4 linked regions of the Lonchura striata genome follow. The protein of the gene in region 1 purifies or fractionates together with the protein of each later gene. This does not show direct contact. Links are inferred from orthologs where the notes say so. Each region holds a gene or a part of one and is shown in the gene's direction. Other genes may lie near its edges. The genes, in order: RALBP1, REPS2, AAK1 and CCDC6.

Region 1 (7,975 bases):
TATTTGGACACCTGGCTCCCAAGCCTCTCATCCTGCTGGCTGGAGTGACTTGAAGTTTGCTGGCATTGCACAGTGACACAGAGACCCACACAACATGGCTACACTCCAGTCTCCAGCCCCATGACCCATGGTGCCCTGACCTACAGCTGGCACTTACACCTTCATGGGAAAAGCCTGGAGACTCGTAGCCTGGGAGGAGCTGAATGAGAAGAGAGGACAGACTGTACTGATGGGGTACCTGCAGAGCACAGCCAAACAACAACCTTACATTTTCCTGTTGGATGGTAATGTCAGTTGGGCTTGGCAAAAGGAACACCTTTACCAAGGTTTGATACATTGCCTTGGCACGACATCTTTCACCAAATCACCAGTACATCATTAAAATGTGTGCTACTCACATGGGAAAACACACTTGGATACAAAATCTTCTTAGAAACAGAGCAAACCCTGATTCAGAAAAGTAAATCTAAGATGTAAAGGTGGCCGAGGCTCAAGTTTTCTTATACCCTTTTCATTGCTTAAGTATTGTCCTAGGATGATGTTATGGTGTTTGTATCTCCAATGTGTGTTCTGTTTATGTTTGATATTATGTTCTGTGCTTTCAGAACTGACTCTGAAAGTGAAGGTTTGTTTTGCCTTGTTATCAGCCGGTTCACCTCCCCCCATGGTCTGCTGTCTAGAAGAGGCTAGTGCGGGCTGGCTTGCTTTTGTTTGCTTGCTTGGCTTGCTTGCTTTGCTTGCTTCTGCTTTTGCCTTTGCTTCCTAGTTAGTTTAGCCAAGCAGTCCAATTCTTTCCCTGGACTCTTTCCTTTCCTTTTCCTGAATACCATCCAACCTGCTCCGGACTGGGACCTGGGAAACGCCAAGGAACACCGAGAGCCTGTGCTTTGTGATCTGCAGCAGACATCCCCAGTGCCAGAGAGCAATCCCCAGCGTCCAGACCCGGGCGACCACTCCCAGGAAAGACTTTCTGGATTTGTTCATCTCTTCAGAGTGGTGAAAGAGTTTTGTTGTCATCTGGTGTGAGAACCCCGGGCTTGGTCAGGGGTCTCGTGTGGTGCTAAAGTCTCTCCTCCAACCCGTGCTTCCAAAGAAAAACTCCGCAGGCTCTTGTTGTTTGGTCCCAAGGCAGTTTATTGTGAGTTATCTAAAATATTGTCTTTGCGGGCTGCGGCTGTTTGATCAGCGGCCCAAGCAGAGACACACACACCCTGACACCCTCACTGTCTGGTGTCTTCTTCTCCCTCCCCGCCCAGGGCTGCTGCTATCTTTTATATGATATATTACATATTATATGTTTACAATTTTTCCCCAATACCTACTACCTATATTACAAAGTGCTTTTCTACTCTAAACCAATTCATAAGTGCCAGCATCACCAAGAACATGGAGGTAAGGAAAAAGAAGGAGGAAGAACAGGATCAGCCCACTTTCCTCCATCTTAGAACTTCTGACCCCCATGTACAAAGTAAAAACCCCCCTGTACAGGTGCTAAAACCCCCCTGTACAATACTAAAAAAATTTCCCCTCTACTTTGTAACTACTTTTACTATACTATCTAACCCTTTGTGACTGCTTGTTCCACCTCCAAAGTTGGTAAATCATTCCATGGATCAAACTCAAAATCACAGCTGTTTTTCAGCTGTCTGCCAGGGTCTAAAATGCTTCTGACCAAGGCCTGGAACCTCCAAAAATGTCTGAGAGACATTTTGAGTTCCAACAATCTGTTGTTAATTTTTTTTTTTTTTTTTTTTTTTTTTTTTTTTTTTTTTTTTTGGTGCTGGGGAGTGCTTTGTTTGTTAAATAAACAGGTTCTTTTCCACTTCTCTCAGAGAAAATTTTTTTTTTCCCGAACCAGGTGGGTGGGGAGGGGCCATGGGGGGTTGTTTTCTGGGGGCTCCTTCCAGAGGGTTTTCCCCAAATTTGCCCTAAACTAAGACAAGTATTTATAAATTTTCTTCCTACCACAGAGAACTTGGAATTACTTGGCTTTGAGCAACCTGTTCTAGGGTTGCCTGGGGCAGAGGGGTTGGAAATAAGTGGTCTTTAAGGGCCCTTCCATCCCAAACCATTCAGTGATTCTGTTGCTCCATAATACTGCTCATAGGAGTTGCTTAGGCAGAGTTCAGGATCATACACCTTTTTGGCTCTGTTCTCCTGCTCTGTGGTAATTTCTATGAACATTTTTTCTCCCCCAAAGGCATGAACTAATTTACTACCTCTAGGTTTTCCTGTTGTATCTTCAGGCTCTCATTGTTTCACTTGTTTGTTTCAGTTTGTGGCCAACTCGTTTCTTTCCTAAGCTAAATATTTTTATGTTTGCTGTGTATTCCTTTATTGCTAAGGAGAATTACACAGCACATCTGAAATTATCCCAGAATGATACAGCCCACATAGACTCCCATCTGTTCAAGACAAACTCAACTCCAGAACTGGCTTTCTTGAAGTAGTAGTAGGAGGAAGGAATTATTTATTAACACAGCTATGCCTTTCCCCTTTTCTTTCCCTGACCAAATGCTTTCTGAAGCTCTCCTCCATTATTATTTTATTACTTTTATGAAGCTCAGGTACATCAGTGAGACTGATTTTCCATGCAGAGAGCTTGCCACCTCAGAATCCTTGCTTCACTTTGTCTTTAAAGCAGTAAGAATTTACTGAGTGAATGTGAGGCAAGCTGAGGGTGTAAGAAAGTGCCTCAGTCTGTGTAAGTTGGTCCCAGACCACAGTGAATTTTGCAAGTCAGAAACCCTCCAAATCTGTTTCACATGGCAGTAAATTGGTATAGCCAGCACTGCATACAATCATTTGTTTGTCCTCAAAATCTGGGAGAAAATTCATTCTGGGCTCATTAGCTGATGAGCCCATTGTGCATGAACTTTTGTTGGCAGTGGCCTCTAATAATACACATTCTTCAGCGCTGAGAGCCTCTGGCCACTGTCACTTCAAGTGGGGATCCTCATGGGCAACCATCTCAAATTACTACGGGATGTTACAGAACTAACCCTTCTCTCTTCTTTTGCCAGGAGTAAGGCGGCCTTTATATACAACAAAAAAAGAAACACATTGGCTGTGATGTTAAGTTAAATAGCCTGGTGAGCCTTTGCTGTTACACTGTTTCTTCTGGAGAGGAGGAGGGAGACTGGAATTTGCGAGGTTATGTAAAAAGTGGTGAAGACAATATCCCTGTGCTCCAACACTAATCGGAGTGTTTACAACCCTCTCTTTTGTAGCTTCCACTGAATAGCACAAATTCCTGTGGGGGACCTTTTACATTACCGCAGGAGGTGGCACAAAGAGCTCATTCGACAGGGACTAAGCAGCACTGAGTCTCAAGTGAATAAATGGAGCAGGTGGCACGCTGCCACGGTATTAATGTGTCCAATAGGCCGGGGATTATGCTCGAGGCTGTGGGAATGAATCGGCCCTGCTTCTGACTGAAACAAATTCCCCTGTTGATGAGCAATCCTGAAAGGGATTCAAATTACGCAGGTGCTCAACGTAACAGAAACTTCCATTGTAAGAGGCAAAAAACCCCCACAAAATTCCTTATAACATCACTGTAAACAGGATGCATCTTGAGATGGGGATGTGTTCCTTGGCACAGGTCACCTCCAGCAGCATCCAGAGCCTTTCCCCATTTCTCTCGCATTCCAGAAAGCAGTAGAGAGAAGTGGGTAACTCCTCTCAGGAGGTCAGATTTGTATGGTGGATGAAGCCGAAGCCTTCATGTGAACGGAGGAAGAGGAATTCTGTCAGCAGTAACATCACATGGAAGGTGGTCCAGGCGCCCCCACCTGCGGGGCTGTGTCAGCTCCCACTGAGACTGATGGCTTGTGGTGTTTGCTGACCTCCCATTCTGACTAGTGTAATCTCACAACTCACTTGGCCATACCCATCTGTAATCACTGCCAAAAGAATCTCAAAATAACATAACGGGTCAGATTGGAAGAGACCACACGGGGTCACCTAGTCCAACCTCTCTGCTCAAGAAGGATCATTCCAGAGCACACAACACAGGACTGCGTCCCCACATGGTGCTTGAATATCTCCAGCAAGGGAGACCCCACAACCTCTCTGGGAAATCTGTTCCAGTGCATGGTCACCTGCACAGTGAAGTTCTTCCACATATCCAAGTGGAACTTCCTGTGAATCAGTTTCTGCCTGTTGCCTCTTAACCTATTGCTTGACACCACTGCAAAGAGCCTGGCTCCATCCTCTTGGCATCCTCCCTCCTTCAAATACTTATATACGTTGAAGAGGTCCCCTCCCAGTTGTCTCTTCCCAAGGCTGAACAGGTCCACCTCCCTCCGTCTTCCCTCATAATAGAGATGCTCCAGTGCCTTAATTATCTTTGCTGCCCTCCACTGGCTCTGCTCCAGGAGCTCCATGTCTCTCTTGTACTGAGGAGCCCAAACCTGGGCACAGCACTGCAGATGCGGCCCCACCAGTGCCGAACAGGGGGCAGGATCAGCTCCCCCGACCTGCTGGCAGCGCTCTTCCCGCTGCAGCCCAGGACATCCCTGGCGTTCGTGACCACAAGGGCCCTGAGCGCATGGCTCAGGGGCGCTTGCGTTCCTTGTGTTCCCAGAGGACTGATGCACCTGCTGGCTGCCGGCTCCCGGCGGCTGCTGAGGGGGCTTCGCACACGTATCCCGCCGGAGTCTCCTCAAGCAGCCGGACCCCGCGGAGCTTCAACAGCGATGCGGGGCAGCGGAGCTGGAACTCCCTCGCAGCGCGCTGGCCGCTGGGAGTTGTAGTGCGGCGGCCAGCAGCAACCTGGAGTGCCCTTGCCGGCAGCGTTCCCAGTGGGAACTACAACTCCCGTCGTGCTCCGCGCGCGGGGAGCCCAGTCCCGCCCGCCCCACCTCCCCGCCCTCGCGGCCGCGCGGAGCGAGGCAGCGGCGCGTGCGCGGTGGCGTGAGCTCGCGCCGCTCCCCGCCCGTCCCTGCGAGCGCCGGGCGGCGGCGGCGGCGGGATGGGGCGCGAGGCGGGGCGTGCCCGCCGCGCGTGAGGCCGAGCCGGAGCCGCTGCGCGGGCGAGCGGGACCCCCCGACGGTCAGTGCGGGGGCGCGGGGGGCGGCCGGCCCGGCCCGACGCGCCGGTGAGGGCCGCGGGGCCGTCCGGGGCCCGGGCGGGCGGGGGCGGAGGGAGGGGGGCGCCTACAACGGGCGGCGCGAGCCGCCACCGCCCCGCGGCTGCCGGTGGGGGAGGGGCCGGCGCGGCCGCTCGGCGGGAGGGGCGGGGCTGCCGGCGGCCACGCCCACCGCCCCGCTGGCGGCGCTCCCCTCCCTGCGCCGCCGCCTCCCCTGCTCCTCCATCGCGCTCCTTCCTTTCCTGGCTGTTTACCTTCCCTTGCTTTCCTCCCTCCGCTCCGCTCCCCGCGCTGTCCCTCCTGCCCTAACGGGGGCAGGCGCCGGGCACCTTGTGCGCCCTGTTTCCGTAGGCGGCTGCTCCCTTTGGATCGTGCGGGGCTCGTTGCAGCTCAGTCTGGGCTGTGGGTTGGCTCTCAGCAAGGTCGTCTTTCGTTGGGTTTTTTTGGGTTTTTTCTTTTTTTTTTTTTTTTTGTGGGGAGGGAGAGGTCAGGGATTTTTATTCTTTTACCTTCGCCTAGAAGTCTTATCTTAAAACCCAGAAAACTTACTGTTATTGTAATTTTTCTGCATCTAGTGTGATTAGCTGGTTCTAAGAATGTCGTGTTTCATACCTGATAATGTTGCTCAGAAAGTGTGTGTTACTGTTCATCATAGAATCACAGAATGGTTTGGAAGGGACCTCAGAGACCATCTAGTTCCAACCCTTCTGCCGTGAGCAGAGACACCTTTCACTAGACCAGGCTGCTCAGAGCCCCATCCCAGATGGCCTTGAACACTTCCAAGGATATGTTAGTGGGTTATATATGAGCAAATACATCTTTTTTTAAGTGCTAACAGATGTTCAAACAGGTGACAAAGAAAATACCAGCAATCCACATTGAACGTATCTGTTCATGACAGTGGTGTGGATTTCCTCCACCCCAGTGTCCCTGAGGTTAATGATAATTGTTGATAGAAAATAGTAATTTTTAAAAAAACAGGCTAAGGCCTTTTTACTTGTTACATAAACCAGGGTGATTTGTGCAAGTCCCTTGTTTCAGCACAGCAAAACAGCCCTAACTGTGCCCTTAAACAGGTTTCTGATCTGGAAACAGGTTGATGTGCTTACCATGAGTGTTCTGCATTGCCATAACCCACCCTGTCAGGAATGATGTTAAGGCTTCATTGGATATGATGCAGAACAGTAATGGATGTAAATTTATTAATCAGCTTACAGGAAAATGGCAGAGGGATCCCTTAGATCCCTTAGATTTGGGTTTTGATTGAGTGTTGTGTACAGCTGGTGGTGAATGGTGCTGTGCTTCAGTTCATTTCAGCGCAGTCTGGGTATAATCCCTACAGTCAGTGTGACAAGCTCTTGGGGGGCACTTTTCCACAGAGAAATAAAGTGGAAATAAAAAAACCAAAACCCTTCCAGACTGTTGTAGTTTTGAGCATTTAGTACTTCTAGGTGTGTGAAATTTATTAACCCTTTTGCTGTAATGTTCTAGCTAACTACAGCAAGAATAGAGTGTCTGTTACGTTGAAGTAGGGAACTTTACATTCCCTGTCCTATGGGTCTTATTTCTAGCTTGGAGAAAATAAATTTTCTTTAGTCTTCCCACATCTGAAATGGAGCATAGGAATAGCTGCCTTAAAATCTTAATACTCCACGCACAACTTCAACATTGTTCTTAGTTAAGGTGTATTCAGGAGTAGGAGGGCATACTTTGTAGTTTGAATTGGTGGGGCTTTTCCCCAAAGTAAGGATTTCCCAGTGAAACCGCTGGTGTGATTGTAGTTATGTGAGAAAGAAAGTTCTTTTTCTGTAGGGCAGATTATTTCCATTTCTATATGGGCATGTCTGCACTGGAGTATGTTGTCCTGGAATTGTAATAACCGTGTTCCTGCTTTGGAGCTGTGTGTCTTGGTTCTGCAGATGTCCTTAAAGCAAAACTGACATGCACAAGCGCTGCATCTAACTCTTTGGGGTTCTCATCTCCACTGTGTCCTTCAGGCACCCTTCCCAGTAAGTTTTAGCTGTATTTTCTTACAGAAAAGGTTTGCATGTTTCCTGAATAAACACTGCTGTTTCTTATGGGCAGGTTTTAGACTGATGTGGAAGATGTTGCTGTTCAGCAATAAATACCACCAAATGCTAATTTATTTTCCTTCTGTAAAGCTTGATGTCATGTGGTTAGCCTCAGAATGCTAAAATATAGTATGATATTTACCTTCAGTTTATAGTGGTATAATGTAGCATAATCTACCAAGCTTATCTCTGAACTAATGTGTTGAATCAGTGAATGATTGGCTACTCTTACAACTAGTCATGGTTTGCTATGTGCATGGTTTGCTATCCTTCGTCAACTCCTGCTGTTCCCCAGTGCCTCATGGATCATAGTTTTCAAATTGCTGCTAAAAAAAAAAAAAAAATATATCAAATGGGCCCATAGTTGGGCTGGAAGCACCTTATGGAGTAGGAAGTTTTAGTTTGGCTGCGTCCGCAGAAGTGGTGGTGTTGAAGGGTGACTGCTGTGCAGATAAGGTTTACATCTTCTGCCTGCCATGGCCAAAACCAGAAGCATAAGGATGCAGGCTGAGTTTAGAGAAAGGACTGGTATGACTCCCTTCCTGTCCATACTTACCCTTCTCATCCCAGCCATCCCTCACCTTTTGGGCATGACATCAGGGAATACAAACTCAGTTGAAGGTGTGGAGGTACAGAAGGGTGAAACAGATTTTGATGGTGGCAGCAAGAGCAAGTCTGCAAAGCTTAATAGCAGCAGGGATCCAGTGCTCCCTGCTTCCAGTTTTTCTTTAGGCTGCAGTAAAAACTGGGGAATGACTGTTTACTTGGGGCAGCTGCTGCGAAGTGGAGGATTTATATGGTATTACCCAAG
Region 2 (7,424 bases), on another chromosome or scaffold:
ACCTAAATTGTTTTTCAATTTCACATGAAGCCATTATTTTAAAAGAAATAAACTGGAGGCACCATGATAGAATACAATGGAAATGAAGATGTACTTTCCTGGAAAGTTACCTGAAAAGCACTGTACTTTTTGTCCTTGCTCTTACAAAGATGTGTGCATGGGCTTTATCTTCTGCAACTAAAGCTCATACTATATGCATAAATGTTCATAAAAGGACTTTACAAAAAGACTTTCTAAACACAATTAGTTGTAATACCATTTTAAGTTACAAAGCTTTCCTGGAACCAAGAAACTTTACATACCAGTAAATCAAAACAATTCAAGTATTTATTGTTTGCTAGAAAAAATAATGTCAGTTATGTAAACTGGATTGAAAATTGATTTATGAAAGTATGGCTTAGATCTGTGTGTGGTCCTCTTTCCCTCCTTCCCTCCTCTCCTCCCAACTAATTAATATGTGGATATTTGTCATATATTTTGTGACACAAACTCTAGTTCTCCATTATGTACTCAGTTGCTTACAGAAAACAAACAACCTGCCAGGAATTGCATCTTCCACAATGTGCAATTTATGCTGCTATCTAATTTTTGAAAACAATGAATTGGTCAGAGTAGAAAACAGCTACTATTTCTTAGTCTTCTTCATGCATTAAAGGTGTTAACAAGCTGGAAAATAGGGAATCAAACTGTACAATTAATTAAGCATTTCTCCTGTTTTTCTTAGAAATAGGATCTCTTAATAAGCAACTATGCAAAGAAGAATATGAGTATTTGCATGCTGAATCTATACACTAAACATCAGGCTTGTCAAGTGTATTCCAAGCATGTCTGATACCACAGTCAGGAAACATGTCCCACCAGTTGCTTGCCATCAAAGTCTTCTTTGATTTGTAAAGAAAGTAAATAAAAAGAATTGTTATGAGGGACAGTGGGTGATATTTACTTGAACTGGTTTGGAAAAAGCTAAATCACAGTTTTCCAGCCAACCATTTGCATAAATTTCCAAAGCTTTACTTGGCGATATATGGAGTGTTTCCACTGTCAATGGAAAGCAGCTGTCAGCCAGATCTCATGCCTTTTTGGCCAGGACAAGTCTGACATGATCTCAACCCTAAGACTTGTGAAAAAACACATGAATCTGAGTGACTAGTGTTTGGTTGTACTGCTCAAATAAAAACTCCCAGGATCTCCTAAATACTAATGTATCGGGAGAATTTTTTTACTGGAGGTTAGGTTTTATGTCATATTATACATGATAATTTATACTAATTTATATCCTGAACAAAAATATGCCTATCATCTGTTATTTCCATATTATTATATATACTGTTATTTTCATTAGCACATCTTTGGAAGTAGTATTTGTTTTGGTTCTTGGTTGTTTTTTTTTTTTTTACTTCGACCTCTGTCTCCCTCCCACATGTGATCACACAATTATTTGCAGGACTGCTGCTGGCTGACTTCAGAGTAAGTAATTGCATTACTAGTTGGGTGGGGAGGGAAGGAGGACCACACACAGATCTAAGCCATAGTTTGATAAGTCAGATTTCAGTTCAGTTTACATTACTGACTATTTTTTCCAGCAAAAAATAAACACTTGAATTGTTCGGATTCTGATACTGATACGCAGCATTTCTTAGTTGTAGGGAAGCTTTGTAACCTGTAATGATGTCACAGCTTCCATGTAAACAGGAAGGCTGAATATGATATTTCTATGGCTTTTGTTATCATTAAGTGCCTCTTAGTCTGAACTAATGTACCGTCACAAGAACTTTATGGCACACAAAGGCCATAAGCGTCATTGCACAGGGTGCACTGGACTGAACAGAAAGTGGTGCTGGCACATGGGGTGGGTTGAAACTCCCCATAAGGGGTGAGTGCAGCAGAGGAAATTGGTGTGGTTGGCATTGCTGAGTGCAGAACACCTGCAGGGAGCAGACAGACACCTGAGCACCCCCTGTAATCCCCAAAGGCAAGCAGGGCTGCTCAGCTCACACCAGGTACACCTCTCGGCTCACACGTACTTGGCAGCTTAAGAGGCATGGATTTCCTGCCTGCCCCCTCGGCTTATGGTGGTTCACTTCTTTCATGTGTTGGAGACAACATGTTGGAGATAACAACGCTGGGGTAGACTGGTTGTGAACACAGCCACTGTGTAACTTCTGATGAGAGTGGGCTGTATGGAGAGAGGAATGCAAGTTTTAAAGGTCAAGGAAGAAGACAAAAACGTCCAAAGGAGAAAAAAAAAGCAGCTGCCTGTGTTGGCAGTAAGAGGTGTGACTGGTGAAACAGACTATTGTGTTCTGGATGGTGTGTGTTTCCAAAATCTTCCTGCCAGGTTCTACCTTAGAAAAACTTTGAAGAATTGACTAACACATCAACCAAGATCAAATGGTGTCTGCTGGAGTGTTGGCAAAGGGCGTATTTGTTGTGATGTTTTGTGTTGTGATGTTTTTGTGATGTGATGTTTCATAAGTATTGAGCTAGTCAGTTACAGATGAGCATTTTCAGGCACAGAAAAATGCACAAGGAGCACAAACTATTTACTGTGTTTTCTTTTGCTTGTCAGGGTAACATCTCTCCTGTTCAAGTTCATGTGGAAGCGAGCTGTTCTTCCACAAGCTAGGTTGAAGATATTTTATCATGAGGGTCATATAGTTAAATATGGCAATAATTAGGTATGGCCTTACATCCTCTCCACATGGCTGGCACCATTTCCTCAAAGCAGTACCTTGTACCTGGCTGGAGACACAGGAAAAGGCCACTAACATCTTAGGACTCTCCAAGTGATGTACCTTGCAGTCGGAGGGTCATTCACTCTGCTCTGCAGAGCCTTCTCAAGCAGACTTGCCTAATTTTTTTTAGCTACTACAGATATTTGCCACTTTAAGTTGGGCTACAAGATTCAGATGTTGAAATAGTCTTGCCCTCCTGTATAACAATATGTTTTAAAATGAGAAAATACCATGACAATCTCTGTCCCTAAAAGAAAAAAGATTTCTCAATAAAACTCCATCCTTAAACACATGTAGAAATTATTCACCTGCTAATAGCTGTATCTAACAACCATTCAATGTGTTCCACACATTGAGAAGGCAGGAACAGATCTTCACTTTGGATTACAGGAATTAAGAGTTTGCATTTTTTGTGCAAGTGAGAAGGAGGCACAGATATGTGGTGTGAAGATGATAAAGTAGCTTAAAAAAAGGTTTTAAAAAGAGGTAACAATGTTTGATTAACAAGAATAGAAGTGATGAGATAGTAATTTTATTTTTGGCTTTACAGACCATAAATTGAACTATTTTCTAGTAAAAATGTCATGTAAAATTATTACATTTTTATTTCATTTTTTTTCTGGATTAATACTAAAGAAGCATATAAAAATTAAACCACATTGACTTCCCCAATGTTTTGCATTCAGGAACACAAGTAACAACGTTGACCCGACATTGTTAATGGTACAGGATGGAAATACACAAGAGGTAGTCTTATTTCTCCATAGACCAGGCCATGTCTATGCACCAAAGCTGCTGTGAAGAGTTGTTGACTCCTCACAGATATTTACAAGGATCACCCTGTAAATATCTGTGGTCAGTTTATTCCTTGAACTTCCCTAAAGAACTGCTGGGAAGAAAGGCTGCAAAAACCAGTATGAGACACACAAACAACCTCCTGGCTGAGATGTCCCCAGCCCTCCCACCTCGGTGGTGATCTGCCTGACTTTTGAGGTGTTGCTTGACCTGTGAATGGAACATTTAGAGTGTCACTGCTGACAAAGGAGTAATAAAGAGGAATCTTGTCTCCAAGAACAAGGGGCTCTTTGCCCTTCACCTTAAAGCAAACACAAGAGAGAAGAGAACACGGTGAGATGCTTCTCTCTCAGACTGTCATGGCTAATCGATTAGGACTCACTGCAGAGTATCGAATGATGCCATTTCTTTTCTGTGGTGCCCACGTGGCACGTTCAGCAGCAGGTGGTACTTTGAAACGCTACTGGTGCGGGATGCCCCGTCCCCGGCAGTGCCCAACGCCACGCTGGATGGGGAATTGAGCAACCTGGTCTAGCGGGTCTAGCCCATGGCAGGGAGGTGGGAACGAGACGTCCTTTAAGGTCCCTTCCAAGGCAAGCCGTTCCGTGAGTCTAGGATGCGGGGAGAAGCCCGCGTGCTGCCGAGCGCCGTGAGCGCCGTCCCGCAGCGCAGCGGAGGCTCGGCGGCGCGGGCGGGCGGCCGGCGGGCCCGAGCGAGGGCAGAGGCGGGGCCGGCGGCAGCGGCCGGGGCACTGCGGAGCCGGCGCGGCGCTCACCGGGCGGGGACTGCACCTTCTCCGCCGCAGCGCGGCACCGCCCCCGGGCCCCGCCACACCTCCCGTCCCACCGCCCGGCCCCCCGGCCGTCCCCCCGCTCCCCGGCGGCGCGGCGCCCGCTGCCCGGCCGAGCGGCTGTGCCTGCGCCGCCCCGCCATGGAGCAGGGGCCGTCGGGGGCGTCCGGCCCCGCCGCCGGCACCGGGGGTCTGCTGCTGCCCCTGAGCGAGACCGAGCAGCAGCGCTACTCCGAGCTCTTCTCGCGGTGCTGCCCGCCCCCGGAGGCGGCCGCCGGGGGGAGCAGCGTGGGCGAGCTGTTCCGGGCCTCCCAGCTGCCCCCGGACACGCTGCACCAGGTGGGTCCGGGGCTGTCGGGTCCGGCTCCCCCGGAGCTGCGGGGCGTGGAGCGGGACCTGCTCCGGGAGAGGGTCCGGCGCTGCCCGCGGGGCCGGGACGAGGCACAGCCCTGTTGGCGGCGGGGCAGAGCGGAGCGGGGCCGGTCCCGCCCGCAGCGGCGATGCTGGGGCTGCTCCGTGCCCGCTGGCCTCCTGCAGACCGGCGCTGGAGAGCTCTGAGGGCTCCGAGCGGCCGCCCTGTGCCGGGCTGTGCCGGGCTGCGCAACCCCGGGCTCCGTTCGGGCTCTCCCCGTCAGGTCGGTAGTGCCGTCGCCTTTCTCAAAAGGGCCCCGAAAGTCATAAAGGCAGTTGTATGAAAGGACGTGCCATGTGCTAAATTCCTGGTTAACCACTGAGGGTTTTTCCCTAAATGTTGTTTCGGTGGGTAAAAAGTCCGCAGGTTAAGAGGATGTCGCGGTGTTTTGTGTCAGTTCAGGAGCGCGAATACAAGGTGCGAAGTGCGAGGGTCTCCCTTCCCCGTGAGAGCAGCAGAGCCCCAGACGTGGTCCCCAGCAGGGGCTGAGAGGCGGAGCCCGCCTGCTTTCTGAGGAAAAGCCTGTCCGGGGTGGGAGAAAGCTTGTGCCAGCCAGTTTCCAGGGACAGGGAGGAACCGGGCTTGGGTCTTCTCCACCTGCAGAGTGGTAATTTAACTAACACACTCTAGTTGCCTAATACCTCCTGAACAGAGATAGGATATTTCTGATTGTTTATCTATTTATTAATTTAACTTTTATTTCCAGGAATTTTGTTCTTCAATAGCTTTTATTTATCAAGCAGAAAAAAGTTATGTTGAAATGAAGGTCATGTACCTAGTGAACCTGATTGCTGTCCTGATAGCTGGCAGATCTTTTAATGGGTTATAGAAATTCGTATTGCGCAGGGGATTCTGAATGAAAATTGTGGTGTTCCAAGGATATTTTTCTTCCTATTTGTGTTTTTTACCAGATCAGTTAAACAAAAATCTTACCAAGCACTGTATTACTACCTTGTATTGAACCACACTTGTGACCTTGGTCTTGCAGGTGAATGGAGTAGTGAAAATAGAGATTTTGCATAGACACAGCACTAGGAGTGTTCTTCCTCTTTCCTCTTTTTGCAAAGACATTTAATTTCAAATAAAAAGGCTTATCCAAATAGCCACTTAATTTTCCCCAAGAAGTACAGAAAAAACCCTCTTATTTTAGCTATGTAGTTTCTTACCCTATCATTTAAGTGAAATTTATCATTATGTTAGTATCACAGTTTGTTTTCAGGGTCATTTTGGTACTAATGTGTGATTTAAGCCTGGAAGCGGTGAGGTATTAACTTTGGTTTTGTTTTGGGGGGTTTGTTTTTGCATTTATTTGTTGGTTTTGACATTCTGGGATTTTTAAAACTATTTAGATTATTTCCAGGTATATTTATGTTGTGGTGAGAACATTACTGGCAGAGAAGCCTGTAATTGGCTTCAGGAATATTCAGATAATAAGGCCTGTGGGATCTGGGTCTGTTTCTCTTTTTCCTTCCTTCCCTCCCCCTCTTGTTTATAGGGCACTAATCACAGTGGCATTCTGCTCTACTGCTAGTGTGCCTGTCCTCAGAACCCACAGCTGCCAGGTATTCTTACGTTTACTGAGACTTCAGGAAAAATCAATTAATGGAAGGAGTTAAAACAATGAATTGCAAATGGGGATGTTTTGATAGGGAAAATTCCACAATGTTATTTGAGATATTTTTCTGATGTTTTTTCTTACTATATTCCAAAAATGCAATTTAATATTTTCACATTAAAAAATCCCACCATTCTAACAGTTAGGGGAGCAATACACAGAGATTCCTGGTATATGTTTTCTGCTAGTACAGGGAATACCTATTTTAGGCCAAGACAGCTCATTTGGGTTAGGATAACATGGTTTCTTTGAAATAATTTTTGAGTATGAATGCTTTTTGGGGGTTTTTAATGCTTTTTAAAATCTCCATCTGTCACTATTAGTGTTTTGCATACAGGCAGCATCCCTACTGACCAACTGAGAAATGATCATGCTGAGTTTATTCGTGTCAGAAATGGGGAGATTTGGTTTGGAAACAGATTCTGGATTTCTGCTAAGAAGAGCCGGCACAGTCCAGCGGGTACTTAACACCATTCTCTGGCCGTGCATGGGCTGTGGCAAGAGACAGTTATAGATGGTTTTGTAAGCAATGGGCAATTTTCAGCTTTTTATTCTCAAGGCATTCATTGAGGAGTGGTTTTACAAATCAGGATGCTTCCAGAACTGACATTTAGTGCTGTGCAGTCTCAAACCTGTGCTGTTGACTTCAGTTGTACTTGTGTAATAAGTGGGAGAAATCTTTGAGAAAGAAGGAGCTTTTCCTTATACTGTTTGAGGATGATGCTCACAAGCATCACAGAAAATCTTCTCCATTTCCCCACCTGTAATGGCAGTATTTGCTGTTAAGACAAAATTCAGTGGGTGCATGCTGGATGGAGTAGTGCTGTTTGGGGTGTCAGTTCCTAGGGGAAAAGCAGTGGTGTGCGCACTCAGACAGCAAACAGGCAAGGATTTGGTTTGGTTTACAGGTTAGTTGGCTTACTCCAAGAAGATACATGGATGAAATAGGCAAGGTAACATCGAGCAGGTAGGGAATGCCAGAGCATGTGGCAGAAGAGGAAATGCTGGAATAAATGGAAAAAATCCAAGAGCAGCCGGGTCAGTCGGAGCAGATGGCGTGCACCCGAGAGTCCTGGG
Region 3 (6,906 bases), on another chromosome or scaffold:
CGATGAGCACTGCGGGGATGAGACAGCCGGGAGTCAAATTCCCCTTCCAAGAGTGCTTCAATCACCGGGTACCCAGGGTGGGGATGCTCGTGTTCTGCAGGTGGGCACACAGGAGGGGATCCCAGCTGCTCTCACAGCTCCTCACGCTGACAGCTCTAGCAGCATCTCGGCTGATAGAGCTGCGGGGGGCTCTCCACACTGCTGTCCCCCAGCATATGCTGTGCTGACACTGCCTCAGAGATACCCACCCACTCTGCCTTTCTCCCACAGAGAAACTGAAGGCTGCACTTGGCCACGGGCCCAGTCTGCTGTTTTCTTTTATTCACTAAAGCTATAAACAGCAGGGAATGAAAACAGTCCGGGGCCATCGGTGGTCTGATGGCTTCGCTGGCTGCCTGTGACCGTGAATCCATCCAAAGGGGAACAGGAGTCAGCAAAAACCTCCAGAGAGGGAGGGGGCTTAAGGAATGCTTACTTTCATTAGTTCTGAAGAGGAAATGAGTAGCTTTCACTTTTTTCTTCTTAATTAGTATCTGCCTCCATCTAGTTTAATCTTACTTAGTTGCTCTGTAATTTGGCCATAACCCAGCTCTAGGGGATGGAAACAGAGCTATGACTGCCCAGCTCAGGATGACTTTTCCTGACCCTGCTCTGAAACAGAAGTGAGCAAAGGGTGTGGGCAGACCCAGGTGAGGCAGCTTGGGGCAGGAGGAGCCCCAACAGGATCCTGACACTGGAAACACAGCTGATAAATCCCTTCTCCGGGAGAACCTAGCCTGCAAACTTCCCTTAGGGTGACAGCAGCTGCTTGAAGGGACAGAGAGGAGCTGTGGTGCAGTCATGCTCCCTGAGAAACACAGCTCTTTCCCACCCAGTGCTCCATCCCTGGCTGTGCACAGGGTCAATCCAGGCCGCTGCATCCCACATGCGAGAGCCTGCAGAGCTCAATCAGCTCCTTTATTTCTGGGTGTGCCACTTCTGTGGATGGAAGATTGGCTTCCAGCCACAGGAAGCAAGAGCCATTGCTGGAGCCAGTGAGGATTCCTGCAGGGACAAACAGGAGCACCAAGGAGGTGGAAGTTTTTAAGCATGTGAAATACAGATCTGACTTCTGGAGTATTTTTGTTCCTCTGCACAACTCTGGACCCAGTAAAGCCCAGCTGCATGACACTGTGCTTGAGAACTGATGTTTTCTTGGAGGTGATGAAGATCAGTGATGATTTTTCTCATTATGCTAATAGTGTTTGGGGGCCACTACTGTGGGCTTGGAAAGAAATCCTGGAACTCCAGAAAATCACAGGCAGGGAGATGGATAGAACAGCGGATCTTTTATTTGCTGGTGAGAAGCTTAACAGAGTTTTTTGCAGTAAATGTATAATTAAAGAGACAGAATTGTGGAATGCATTGCATTGGGAGGGACCTTAAAGCTCATCTTGTTCCAGGCTCCATGAGCAGGGACACCTTCCACTGTCCCAGGGTGCTCCAAGCCCTGTCCAGCCTGGCCTGGGACACTTGCAGGGATCCAGGGGCAGCCACAGCTTCTCTGGGCACCCTGGGCCAGGGCCTCATCCCCCTCACAGGGCACAATTCCTTTCTTGTATCTAATCTGAATATCTCTCCCTTACTTTGAAACAGTTACCCCTATCACTGTGTAAAAAAGGCTCTCCCAACATCCTCATCAAGATAAACACTGCCGTGTGATTAAGACTACATTATTATGCGGTGAAGTCAGGAAAATGTGACCACGGCTGTTTCCCCTGGCCAGTTTAGTGGCAGCAAGCACAGGAAGCTGTGCCAGCGCTGCTCTCCGTCGTTGCTGCTCCCGGAGCTCTCCAGAAGGGGCCAGTGTGCCCTCGCCTTTCGGGGCCGCAGGAAACCTGCCCAGGCCTGTGTTTTTATTTAGAAAATGCTGAGCTGGCTGGAAAGTTGATGAAGAGGGATGCAGCTGTATTAATGTGCTTCTTCCTGGGGATTTGAATGCATTTTCTGAGCGGTGCAGGAGAACCAGGGATCAGGGAGACAATGTGCAGGGAAGCAGCTCTGCTGACCACACTCGGATATTTTAAACCTTGTGTCATGGGATTTCAGCAGCTTAAAATTTGTTTTTTAGGACTGAGTGCATTAGTCAGAGGCTCCTGCCTGCAGCAGGACAAGGCTGGGAGCACTTTGGAGTCACTCTGACACGGGAGGAGCGCCAGGCCCTATCTGTGCTGTGGCCACAGATCAGCTTTTCCACTTGGAGCTTTCAGGCTCAGCTCCCTCTGATCCCCGTGAAGGTCACAGGGATTGCAGCAGTGCGGTGAGCCTTGTGTCTCCTGGAATAAAGAACATCCTCAGCGTCTGCAGCCTGCTGCTGCCCAGAGCGGTCATGGGTGGGGTTTGTGTGCCCGTGGGCTGACAGCCGTGCGTGGGGCTGACACTGCCTGCACTGCACTGCAGGTACGGTTAAAAAAAGCTCGGCAGTGCATCTGCAGCTCTCTGCATGCTTTTATCTTCTTTAGCTGGAAATGAGTAATTTCCCTGTGCTCTACAGAGATGCCCAATTTCCTTGGAAATTGTTCAGTTCTGCAGAGTCCCCAGAAATCCCCAGTGATGGGACCCACATTTTGCACTGGGTGTTTTACCAGTCTTGAGAGATGCCTGGGGATTTTCACAAGTCAGAGAAATTAAAAAAAAATTAAAAATAATGGATCGAAGCACCTGAGACTTTACTCGGTTCATATTTATTCCGAAGGGCACGTGAACCTTCTGTACTGAGCACGTCATCGTGCAAAGCCCTAATGTGGGCCGTGGCTCCTCACGGACAGGATTTCTGCACTCATCCCTCGCGGCGAGGAGGACGCAGAGCCCCCGGGCCCCGTCCGCTGTTCCTGTGGGGGCCTCCGGTACCGACCGGTCTGAGGGGCGACCGCGGCCCGGCCGCTCCGCCACAGCCCCTCACGGCCCCGGCCGGTCTGAGGGGCGACCCCGGCCCGGCCGCTCCGCCACAGCCCCTCACAGCCCCGGCCGGTCTGAGGAACGACCCCAGCCCGGCCGCTCCGCCACAGCCCCTCACGGCCCCGGCCGGTCTGAGGAACGACCCCGGCCCGGCCGCTCCGCCACAGCCCCTCACGGCCCCGGCCGGTCTGAGGAGCGACCGCGGCCCGGCCGCTCCGCCACAGCCCCTCACGGCCCCGCCGCGCGGCATGCCGGGACTTGTAGTCCCCGCCGCCCCCAGGGCCCCCCCTCCGCCTGGCACGGCGAACTACCGCCCCCAGCATGCCGCGCGCGGCGCCGCCAGCCCGCCGGGCCCCCGCTCCCCCGCCCGCCGCACCGTGGGGCGGGGGGCGCTCCGAGGCCCGCGGGACGGGACGCTGTGGACGCGATATCCCGGGACAGGGAGGAACGCAACGGGACGGGACGGGACGGCCCGGGGCGGCGGGGCCGGGCCCCGCAGCTGGCGGAGGCGCGGGGGCGGTGCTCCCGGCGGCAGCCGGCACTTCCTGTGACGGCCCATTTCCTGGTCGGATGGGGCCGGCGGGGGGCGGCGGCGGCGGGGTCGGTCCCTGTCCGTGTCCCTGACGGGCTCGGTGGTCGCCGGTGACGCCGCCAGGCAGCGATGCGGGCCCCGGGCGCTGCCGGCAGCCGGCCCCCGCCGTGAGCCGGTGGGGCTGCGCAGGCCGGCCCCGCGGGGCGCATGGAGGCACCCGCCGCGCTCTGCGAGGTACCGGGCAGGGTCGCGCGGTCGGGGCTCGCGGAGCGGCCCGCGGCGGTGACTCGCCAGCCCGTTATCCCCGCTGCTTCCGCAGGTGTGAGTCCCCGCGGGACAGCGCGGCTCGGCCCCGCCGGGCCAGCGGCCCCGGGCCCCGCTCAGCGGCCGCGGCAGAGCCAGGAGGGGTCGGCACCGACACCGGCGTCGCGGCGGCCGCCGCCTCCTGAGACATGAAGAAGTTCTTCGACTCGCGCCGGGAGCAGGGCGGCTCCGGGCCCGGCTCGGGCACCAGCGGCGGCGGCGGCGGCAGCAGCGGCCCGGGCAGCGGCTACATCGGCCGGGTCTTCAGCATCGGCCGGCACCAGGTCACGGTGGACGAGGTGCTGGCGGAAGGTAAGGTCCCGGTGCCGTTCTGAGCGCTGCTTTTGCCTCCCCGAGCTGAAAGGGAGGCCTCGAGCTGTCCCGGGCACCCAGCCTCCTCCCTGACCCCCGGATTCCTGAGTATTTCACCGTCCTTGGCAGAATTGCAGTCCAGTGGTGTCTGTAAGCTGACGTGTCTGATCTTCCCATCTGTAAGTCCAGTGTGGGTTTCCTGGATTTGGTTTTTTTTTTGTTTTTGTTTTTGTTTTTTTTTTTTTAATGCTTCAGAAATTGGAGGAATGTTGTTAGAAGTTGTTTCTCACTTCTTCTAAACTGGGAGTTAAAAAAAACAAAATAAACAAACACCCAAACCAAAATTGTCAAATATTTTGGTGCAGAACAAGGTGCTGTAAATAAAAAAAGTGGTGTCCTTCACTCTTAAACTTTCTTCAGCTGTTACCTCCTTTCCTATCTCAAGCTGAGAGGATTAAAACACTGGAGTAAATTCCTTGTAGCTATGTTATGTACATAGGCTGGCTGTGACCTGGGATGAGGGATTTCTCTGTGTGTGGGATGTCTGCAAGGGGAAGTGGTGATCCCAATTGCCTTTTTTTTTTTTTTTTTTTTTTTTTATAATTTTATTTATTTATTTTGTTTTCCCCAAATAAAACAGACACCTAAAAATGAATCCTAGGGGTTATGGAACTCATGATGTGTGCAGGCCTTGCAGTGCAGCAAGCTGCTGGTGGCATTTGTTTAATTGTAACCAGCCCTGCTGCTTGAACTATCATTTTACATTTCATTTGTTGGGGCTGTAAGGAACCTCCTGCATGGCTCTGCCTGGTAACCTTAGCCTCGACCTTCAGAGAGATGTTGGCCTCTTCAGACCTGCTCCTGGTGCCTCCTGCACAGCATCCTGGGCAGATTTAGTCCAAACAGTGTTTTGTTTTGATGGCGAAGGAGAGGAGAGCTGCTGGGAGAGAGCTGAGTGGGAGGACCTGTGTTGGCTTTTACAGAAAGAGCCCTAAAATGGAAAAGGGACTCTGTGTACGCTGCCTGTGTTCAGATTTGTAAGAATTCACCGCGGTGTACAAGAAAATAGGTCTGTGGCTGTTTTTTTAGACTTGGTTTCTGATGTGTTCTGCTGAGAGGAGAACCAAAACCAGGCTTTTACCTAGCAGCTATAGTGATTTTTTTTCCTTTGAAATTTGCAATACAGGTTTGCCTGGACTGATACTTGCGAGGCCCTTTTGGCCCTGGAAGCTTAGGATCTACATGAGCTAAACTTGAGAAGCTGTCAGTCTCTTTTTAATGCAGGATGGCCTCATCCTGGTAACATGGGAAGGCAGAGGCTTTTTTTGCTGATGAGTAATGTGCTGGCAGGTTCTGCCCCGGGAAGCGAAGCCGTGTGTCACCGGGCTCTCCTGCTGCAGCAGAGGTGGAGGTGGGAGCACGAATTGCCTGAGAGAAGAGCCTCCCTTCTCTGCCTCCCTGTCCTGGGGGGAGCTGCTGCTTGTGGGGGCTTTTCCCTGCATCTCCTGCTTCCTGGGCTGGCTGTGGGATGGAGCACGGCCTGCAGCTCTGGGCTGCTCACAGCAGGCTAGCACACCTGTGAAGCAGGGGCTGTGTTTGTTCTGTGAGGCAGAGGGAGTTCTGGTGAAAGGTGCTGCCCAGGTATCTCCCTCCCAGCGAGACTTTGCTGTGGGCGGTGTGAAATCCTTCTGTGTGCAGAGGGGACACGAGCAAGGCGGTGTGTCGGTTTGCAGCTCGTCACCTTTTGTTGGGAACAGTGACAATGCCATTTCCTCTGTAGGAAAGTTGGGCCAGCTGGGGAGCAGCGTGGGTCAGGAGTGCTGCAGCTCTGCATGCCTGAGTGTGGCTGAGTGTGCTGGTAAACAGCCTTTTCTAAACCCTGACTCAGCTGGAGACCTGGGGAGCTCGTGGGCAGCCCGGTCCCCACGCTCCTGACGTCTGAAACCTCGGCTGGAAAACCTCTCTGTATCTGCAGTGGTTCCAGCAGTGCTGAAGAGGCAACTCCTGGCTATTTCTGCTAAAAGGAAAAGTCCCCTGGGAAGCACTTTGTAGGAGGAGTATCCTGTCTGGGAAGGAAGGACCTGTCATCCCCGTTGCTTTAGGAGGGAGGGGGGAGGCCTGTGTTTAGGTGCAGCCTGTGAAACATGAAAAAAAAAAAGAGATGTAAAAGTGGCTTAAAGAGAGAACTGATGCAGTGATGAATGGTGCGGAGGAGACTTGAGTTGAACCAGAAGTTTTGGAATTGAAACATTGTGATTTGCTCTCAGAGCTGTGCCTGGTCACCCTGAATTCTGCTGAGCAACCCTGCTGGTGAGGAGTGTGCCCTGGCTGCAGCACTGCCTGTGCCAAGTGGCAAATGGCTCCAAATACCTCTGGGCTCTTGTGTGGATCTCCCAAATTACCTGTTCTGGTTAGGAGCACCCCTCACCCCTAAAAATAGTTCTGTCTGGATGCTTGCCTGCCTTGGCAGGGAGGAACATCCTTTCCTTTTTAGAAGGAAGTAGATGGGAATAATGTAGAAGGAATTTGAGGGGTTGGTTGTGGCGTCAGGATACGGTGAATCAGTGGGTTTTTTACAGTGTGTTGCAATAGGTTGTACCTAGTTGGGTCTTTGTAACTCTCCTGCTCTAATCTATATAATAGCACAAATAAGCTCTTGAAAAATTCCCCTCAGAGTTTGCAGAAGGATTATCTGTGGTGGGAGGGCAGTGCTGTTGGTCCTGGGGGTCTGCAGGGTCAGATTTGAAGTCACACAGTGCCCCAGTATGGGTTTAGGGGCATTGTGGCTGGTTTTGGGGTGAGTGGTGTTTCACAGAGCTGAA
Region 4 (7,010 bases), on another chromosome or scaffold:
TTCATAGTCAGATACTCTATCCTACTAAGAGACTTTTTTCCTAATACAGCTTTCTGATTAAATAATTGCTGGTCAAGAAAAGCAAAGCAGCATGACATTATTTTCTGAATTGCTTGTTAGAAAACATGCTTTAACTTGCATCAATATATGCCTTAATCCACAATAGTAGCGATTTGGGTTTCTTTTGCTCATACAAATACCTTTCAAACCAAACTTTGTCCCCTTCTACAACCTCTCCACATATGCACTCCATTTCCCCCTTTTAATATCCCCTTATGTACAAGTCATGTTCTTTTCAATGCTGCATCAGTTTGTTTTCCTAGCAGTATTTTTCATTAATTGCATTTTCCTGCAACTGTTTCTTTCCATTCCCTCTTCTCCCCTGCACCCCCATTTCAGTCAGGTACTCTGAGTACTATGCAGACTTTTTTTCCTTAGGTTAATTAGCTTCAGTTGGCCTTTTCCTCTTCAGTCTATAACTATTGAATATTTTAATGAAATTGTATTCTTACAAAAGGTCTTCCAGCTGATTAATGGACCTCTGGAATTACATAAAGGATTGCATTGAATCTCTGAACATACCTCTTCTAACCCCTCACACCTAGAAATGTACTTTATACAATATTTTTACTGTTGATGTGAGTTTATGGAACACTGTTTCTAATTGCCCATTACCTCCTGTAATGATAGTTTCTGTGAATAAATCCCTGTTTCTTCTTCTTGATTGGTCTGCTCTTCTACTATAAGGGTGCTGGTGACATTTTCATAGTCTTTATTTCTACAAACACCTTTCCCCCTTACAGTTCTGCATTTATTTTTCATGCAATAAGGAGATACTGAGGCAAAGGAGGGTGGGGACCTCGTCCTGCAGGTGCTGTGGTGGTGGCAGGGTGGTTGTGGTGGCTTTTCCTGTGATGCCAAGCCCCTTGCTGCCTGCAGTGGGGACCAGGACCAGTGGCACTTGAGCAGCCCTGTCAGTGGGGCAGCTTCTTCTTTAAGTGTCTTCACAACGAGGTTTTGCTAATTTTGCTTATACCACATATTTATACCTTTTTAATTGATTTGGTTAACATCCTACAGGTGTAAAAAGCATGTGATTTTTAATTTTTTGGGGGTGCTAATTCGGGTAACATTTTCTCTCCCTGTTTAATCTATTAATTAGGAGTAGTTGGTTGTAATTGTAATTAAATATAGAGGTACTGTTTTTTAAATTACTGAACTGCTGTTGCAACAAGAAGGATGCCGTGTCAGATCTAAACATCCAGAACCCTTGAGTCTTCCTCCCACTCCCCCACTGACTCAGTGTTTGTCATTGGGCAAGTAACTCAGCTTCCTACCTCCCTTTCTTGCCTTCCAGGGCTATTGTGCGAATTAATTAGATAATGTTTCAGCATAGCTTTGAACTAGAGACAGACACAGAAGTGCCAAGTTATAATTCACTGTTATGAAAGTCAGCTTGCTGGCTGGGAGTGAGACCTCTGATGCCAGCCCGGCAGGGACAGAGGGACAGCGAAAGCAGGCAGGGAAAAGCTCCCTTCTTGCCTCAAGATCCCTCATCTCCACAGCTGCTGTCTGCACCACCCCAGAGCTGCTCTGCTGAAGGCAGCACCAGCAGCTGCCTGCTGTGAGCCCAGGGATGCAGCCCCTGGCTGAGCCAATGCGGCCCGGCTGCTGGGTTGAGGAGGTTGCCTGCACCTCCCTGTCTGTTTTCAGGCTAATTTTAGTGTCTGAAGGAGCAGAGGACACGTCCTCTGAAAAATTATAGTGCTCCAAATCAGCAAAGCACTTAAGATTAACATTGATAGGTCTGAAGAGTGGCTTAAGGTTAAGCACGCCGTGGGGCTTGCTGGGTAAGATTAGCCTGGAGCAGATGCGTGTTTTGCTGATTCAGGCTTTCAAAATATTTAGGCCTTGATTCAGCAAGACACTCAAATGTGGGCAGTACTGGCTGATCAAAGCTGGGCAGACGGATGGAAGATAGAATATTGAGGTATAAACCTGCTAGTTCAGAACTTTGTTTGATTCCAGGAGCACGTGTGCATGCGCGCAGAGACAAACCAGCTTTCCAGCTATCGCCTGTGCTGCGGAGGCTGTGCATGAAATAACATTTCCTCATGACCCAGGGGTGTCCAGCCAGCTTCCCAAATACCAGCACACCTATTTGAAAGAAATTCTGGTGAAATGCAACTACCTATGCAAACCAGCATTCACTATATTCTGAATCCTATTTTAATCCCTCAAGGTTTTTATCCCCGAGCCCATGCTGGTGGCAAGGCTCAGCCTGGGCACGGTTGCAGGGTAGAGGAGCTGGCAGCCACCCCAGGTGCCTTGTTTTTCCCTGCAGAGCCAGGGTCTGCTGCAGGGGCACTTTAGGACAGCACTGAAAAAGGTCTCATGAGACCTCATGGACATCATCAACTACTCTGTGCATCTATGGCAGCATCTCTTGAGGACAATGCTCTTATGTTTTGGGAGAAATTCCACCCTAATTAAGCCCAGAGATGGGAAATGCAGCTGAGGGGCAGCAGCTGCCAGGGTGGTCATGAGGTTTGCTTGGTGGCTTTAATGTCCTGGGATGCAGGACCTTTTTTTCTTGCCTGAAAAGCCCTGAACTGATGCCTCCTGATGGGCTAAGGAAGAGCTGTGGGTCTCTGCTGGTGCTGGATGGGGATCCCCACTTTCCTCCCTCTCCATTCTGAGCCTTGTTTGGGGCAGCATTGTGTGCTAGGGACACACAGATGGAGATCAGAGGAAACTGCAGTTTCCAAGGCTCAGAACGAGGAGCACCCCTTTTCTTGTGATTAAGAGACCAAAAATAAAATGACCTGCACTTATATTCCCAGGCAGGTGAAAAGAATAATTACTTTACAGAGATGGAATTCCTTCATATATTATAACCATTAAAAAGAGTAAAATTTGAAATTTACTATGGCATGAAACAAAAAGGTAGTGCAGTTAGAGATAATGAAATCCTTGCTTGCCACTAATGGAAGAAGTACTGTTATTAAAGACTCCTTCATAAATAATTGAGAAACCAATTATACAGTCTTGGGACTAATTTATCCAGGAGCAATTCAGACCATGTTTTTCCATAGAATGAGTGGCACAAATTCTCCACTATAGTTCGCTGCTGCTCTGCAAAGAAATAGTAAAAAAGGAAGAAAAGAAAAGAAAAGGAAACTAATGCACCTACTAATCAACAAATACATTATCAGTAATGAGAGATGAATGTCCATATATCGTAAGGCAGTTTTGCTGATGTATGGAGGGTTGAATTAACATGCCAGTTGGTTGGTCTGTGTGCTGGGTGGGGAGCAGGGCTGGTGGTGGGGCTGTTCCCTCCGACTCCGACCCCGGGGCTGCTCCCCCAGACCCGGGGGCTCGGCGGGTGGGGTCCCGCTCCTTCTGCTGCTGGTGTCCAGCCCCGAGGGGCTGCGAGCTGCCCCGGGCAAGGGGCCTGGGCCGGGGACACAGCCCGGGCAGTGCCGTGGGCGCCGTTTTGGTACAAAAATTCTTAAACAAAACAAGGTTCGGGGCCGTTTGGGTCGTGTGCGGCGAACCCCCGGGCTCCCCGGCACGGGTTTAGCGATGCAATGAGATGAGTCCCGCTGCTTCCCGCGGGGGTCCCGCTGTGCAACGGATTCCCCCGGCCACGTCCCGGCCGGGCACATCCCGACATCGGGTTGGGTGTGGAACAGACCCTCCGGGCACATCCCGGGCCCAGGATTCGGTGTGTAGGGAGCGCCCCGGGGAATATCCCTCGGTCCCGAGTTCTGTGTATCCGAGATCCCCTCTCCTGGCACATCCCGGTCCCGGGCTCGGAGTGTCCTGGCTCCCCGCTCCCGGCCCGTCCCGGTGTGTCCCGGCGCGTCCCGGCTGGCGCGGTGCCGGCGCGGGCCGCCAGGCGGCGCTGTGGGCGGGCGCGCGGCCCGTCTCGGCGCCGGCGCGCGGCGGGCGCCGCCCCCTGCTCGGGCGGCGGCGGCGGCGGCGCGCGCGGGGCGATGGCGGACAGCGCCAGCGAGAGCGACACGGACGGCGGCGGCGGCAGCGGCGGCTCCGCGGGGCCGCTGTCGGGGGGCGGCCCGGGCGCGGGGCCCGGCTGCGGCACGGCGGGCGGCGGCGGCTCCTCGGGGGGCGGCAAGGCGGGCGGGATCGTGATCTCGCCGTTCCGGCTGGAGGAGCTGACGAACCGCCTGGCCTCGCTGCAGCAGGAGAACAAGGTGCTGAAGATCGAGCTGGAGACCTACAAGCTCAAGTGCAAGGCGCTGCAGGAGGAGAACCGCGACCTGCGCAAGGCCAGCGTCACCATCGTGAGTGCGGGCGGCGCCGCGCCGGGCCCGGCGGCGGGGAGCGGGGGTGTCCCCGCCGCGGGGTGTCCGCGCAGGGCGGGCCCGGCCCCGGCCGCGGCCTCCCCGCCGCCCCCGGCCGCCTCCCGGGCCGCCGCGACCATCCCCGCGGGCGGGCCCGGCTGTCAGCGCGGCCCGGCCGGGGGACGCGCACAGGTGGGGTCACCCCGCGCCCTTCGCGCCCCCTCCGGCTCCGGGAGGCGGCGGAACCGGCGAGCACCGGGCGCTTCCCCCGGCCGGACCCGCGTGGCCGCCCGGCGCCCCGCGGGGAGGCGGCCCCGCCGCCCGCCCTGCGCGGTGTCCGAGCGGCGGCGCTCGGGGAGGGGCGGGCACGGGAGGGCCGATGCTCTGTGCTCCCCTGAAGTTTCTCGAAGTAAGAGGTTTCCTTGGAGTTTCAGTAATCTGCGGAGATTACGGATTATCTCTTCAGCCACTGTGCAGAGCTGCAGGAATAGCGTCTTGGTCATGAGGAAGTGTCTGTGTTTGTAGTATTTTGTTTTAGCTGTGGTATTTCAAGTTATTTGAAAACTCATTTAAATAAGTCTCTTAAAAATAATGCGAGTAGAGCAGCACTCTGTCCCGGCAAGAGCTCAGCTCCTGGTTTATGACCACTGTGAGGATAACTTGGAGTTTAACACCATTTTATATGATGCTGTTAGGCAGGAATCCTCAGAAAAGTGTGTATCATAATACTACAAAAATATTGTTCTGTTCTTCTCTATGAGCTTGGGAGTTAAGAGTTTAAATTCGAGGGATTTTTGCTAATCCAGCGACTAAAGGCATTGTTTAGGTATTGTAATGGTCATGGTAGAGTAGGTAACTTGCTAAAGACCTGTTAAAGGTAACTGATACTGTCCCGACCGTCCCTGCCAGTGCAGGTGGAGATGTTTTAGGAGAGACTAGTCCCTCCTGTGTGTGCACACTCTCATCTCATCTAATTTTTCACAGGGAGTACTTCGCTGCGAGCATAATGTCTGTTTTATTGATACTCAGCTTTCCCATTGTCAATACATCTAGCCAAGAAATGGAGCTTGCCTAGGCATACCTCTCATCTGCTCCTAGTAGTAAGCATTCAGCGTCTAGCAGGATGTGGGCCGGAAGAGTGCATGAAATACAATACAGAAGTAATTTATTCAAGGATGACAAATATAGTGCTAGTCGGGGAAATGTGTGCTTTGTTAATACTTTACGAGAAGAGAATGTGCCTTAATTAGGTAGCGGCGGAGTGCCTTCTAATGTTGAAAGGGTCTAAGGCGCCTTGTCAGTCAGACATTTTCTCTCTGCCTGTTGGAAAGGCACAGCATCTTTCTGAACCTCTGGTAGATGTATTGTTTGTAAACAACTTGGAAAAAATGCTTGTGTGCATTACAGTTCTGGCAATGTCTCTAGGGACTGATCATTTTACCTTTTTATCAGATTTTTATTTATAAAAAGGAGATATTTTCCTTAAATCTGAAACTCTGCCTGCTTTTAACATCTTGGATAAAGAGAAGGAGAGGTGTTAGACTTTAATGGCAACCTGTAGGCTGTCTGGAAAAACGACCGTCTTTAGCTGATGCTGTGGCTTTGGTATGCTAAACTGTGTGCACGACTGAGTAAACCACTTCTAATTCAGCAAGCGGTGAAAAAACGAATGCAAAACAACACTTTTTTTTCAGGCCAGTGAGACCTTGTGCTGTGGTTTACATAGTCAACAATGTAAATACATGTGAAGTCAGAATACTTTGTTGTGTGGCTCTAGTATGCAGGTGACTGCAAATGAACTTTATTGGAATGTTGAAATGTGTGTCATTCACATGTAAACGTCACAGGAATAGAAAATTTTCTGATTGTCTCCACTGTGATTCTAAACCTTTGTCAGTTTGCTCCTCCAGCTCCTCGAAGTGTTGCTGCGCTGACAGACGGGCTCATTGTATGTTTCCTGTTGTGGGCATTGTAATGACACAAATCAGCTTTGATTTTTATCAAGTGTTGAGGACGAGCTGTGAAGCACAAGTGGACCTGACAGGTAGCCAAAATAGCAAAATAGCAGGTGAATGACTAAACCTGTGTGCTGTAGGTGAAGGTGACTCCTCGAACCACACAGCTCTTCACCTCCAAACCTTTCACTGATTCTGTTTTAGCTTTTTGTGTGCAAGGTCACAGAGACTCTTGGCTTTCTGCAGCTCCCACCATTGTCTTTATTGGTTCTGAAAATTTTCCCTTTAAAGTTTGCGAGTGATGGTCTTCCTCCTACCTCTTGTGTCCATGGTGGTGTAAGTGTTAATATGACATCTCTTTATGCTTGCAGTATTGTTGGTGTCAGCGTCAGTTTAGGAATTACCTAAATTGCTTGCCATATAGGATCTTATTAGTTCTATTTGTAGTTCACCCTTGTGGCTACAAGGGTTGAAAATAAAGTGTTAATTAAGCATAGGAGACCCACATTAAGTAGTTGCACTTGGAAAACTGAGAAAAGGTGTTGGCTTGGCAGGTTTAGTATGCTCACTAACTTCATGTGTATTCTCATCTAAAACAAGTGAAAACAAATGCTGCTTTCAAGCTGAAATTGGTGAAGCCAGCTTGGACTAAGCGTACGCCCAAAAATATGTGTGAGCTGTACTCCTTCCAGTAGCCTGAAATGCAAATGAAGTTATGCTGCTGTTCATGTGCAAGACTGTGAAA

Evidence for each region.
Region 2: the proteins of RALBP1 (region 1) and REPS2 purify together in Homo sapiens (affinity purification with mass spectrometry; 3 studies listed by BioGRID and IntAct, counting the BioPlex papers as one, with this or other methods). This does not show direct contact. The link is inferred for Lonchura striata from reciprocal best matches to the Homo sapiens genes RALBP1 and REPS2.
Region 3: the proteins of RALBP1 (region 1) and AAK1 purify together in Homo sapiens (affinity purification with mass spectrometry; 3 studies listed by BioGRID and IntAct, counting the BioPlex papers as one, with this or other methods). This does not show direct contact. The link is inferred for Lonchura striata from reciprocal best matches to the Homo sapiens genes RALBP1 and AAK1.
Region 4: the proteins of RALBP1 (region 1) and CCDC6 purify together in Homo sapiens (affinity purification with mass spectrometry; 3 studies listed by BioGRID and IntAct, counting the BioPlex papers as one, with this or other methods). This does not show direct contact. The link is inferred for Lonchura striata from reciprocal best matches to the Homo sapiens genes RALBP1 and CCDC6.

The regions. Positions count from the first base shown.
Region 1 is NC_134603.1:51,665,930-51,673,904, forward strand, and holds the start of RALBP1 (ralA-binding protein 1), read left to right. Parts: upstream 1-4,967; 5' UTR 4,968-5,055; intron 5,056-6,824; exon of another isoform or gene 6,825-7,101; intron 7,102-7,975. UniProt on the Homo sapiens protein: Multifunctional protein that functions as a downstream effector of RALA and RALB. As a GTPase-activating protein/GAP can inactivate CDC42 and RAC1 by stimulating their GTPase activity.
Region 2 is NC_134604.1:100,730,482-100,737,905, forward strand, and holds the start of REPS2 (ralBP1-associated Eps domain-containing protein 2), read left to right. Parts: upstream 1-4,423; 5' UTR 4,424-4,461; coding exon 4,462-4,659; intron 4,660-4,812; exon of another isoform or gene 4,813-4,820; coding exon of another isoform or gene 4,821-4,955; intron 4,956-4,962; exon of another isoform or gene 4,963-5,339; intron 5,340-5,804; exon of another isoform or gene 5,805-7,424. UniProt on the Homo sapiens protein: Involved in ligand-dependent receptor mediated endocytosis of the EGF and insulin receptors as part of the Ral signaling pathway. By controlling growth factor receptors endocytosis may regulate cell survival.
Region 3 is NC_134634.1:248,361-255,266, reverse strand, and holds the start of AAK1 (AP2-associated protein kinase 1), read left to right. Parts: upstream 1-3,906; 5' UTR 3,907-3,921; coding exon 3,922-4,084; intron 4,085-6,906.
Region 4 is NC_134609.1:4,139,343-4,146,352, forward strand, and holds the start of CCDC6 (coiled-coil domain-containing protein 6), read left to right. Parts: upstream 1-4,001; coding exon 4,002-4,310; intron 4,311-7,010.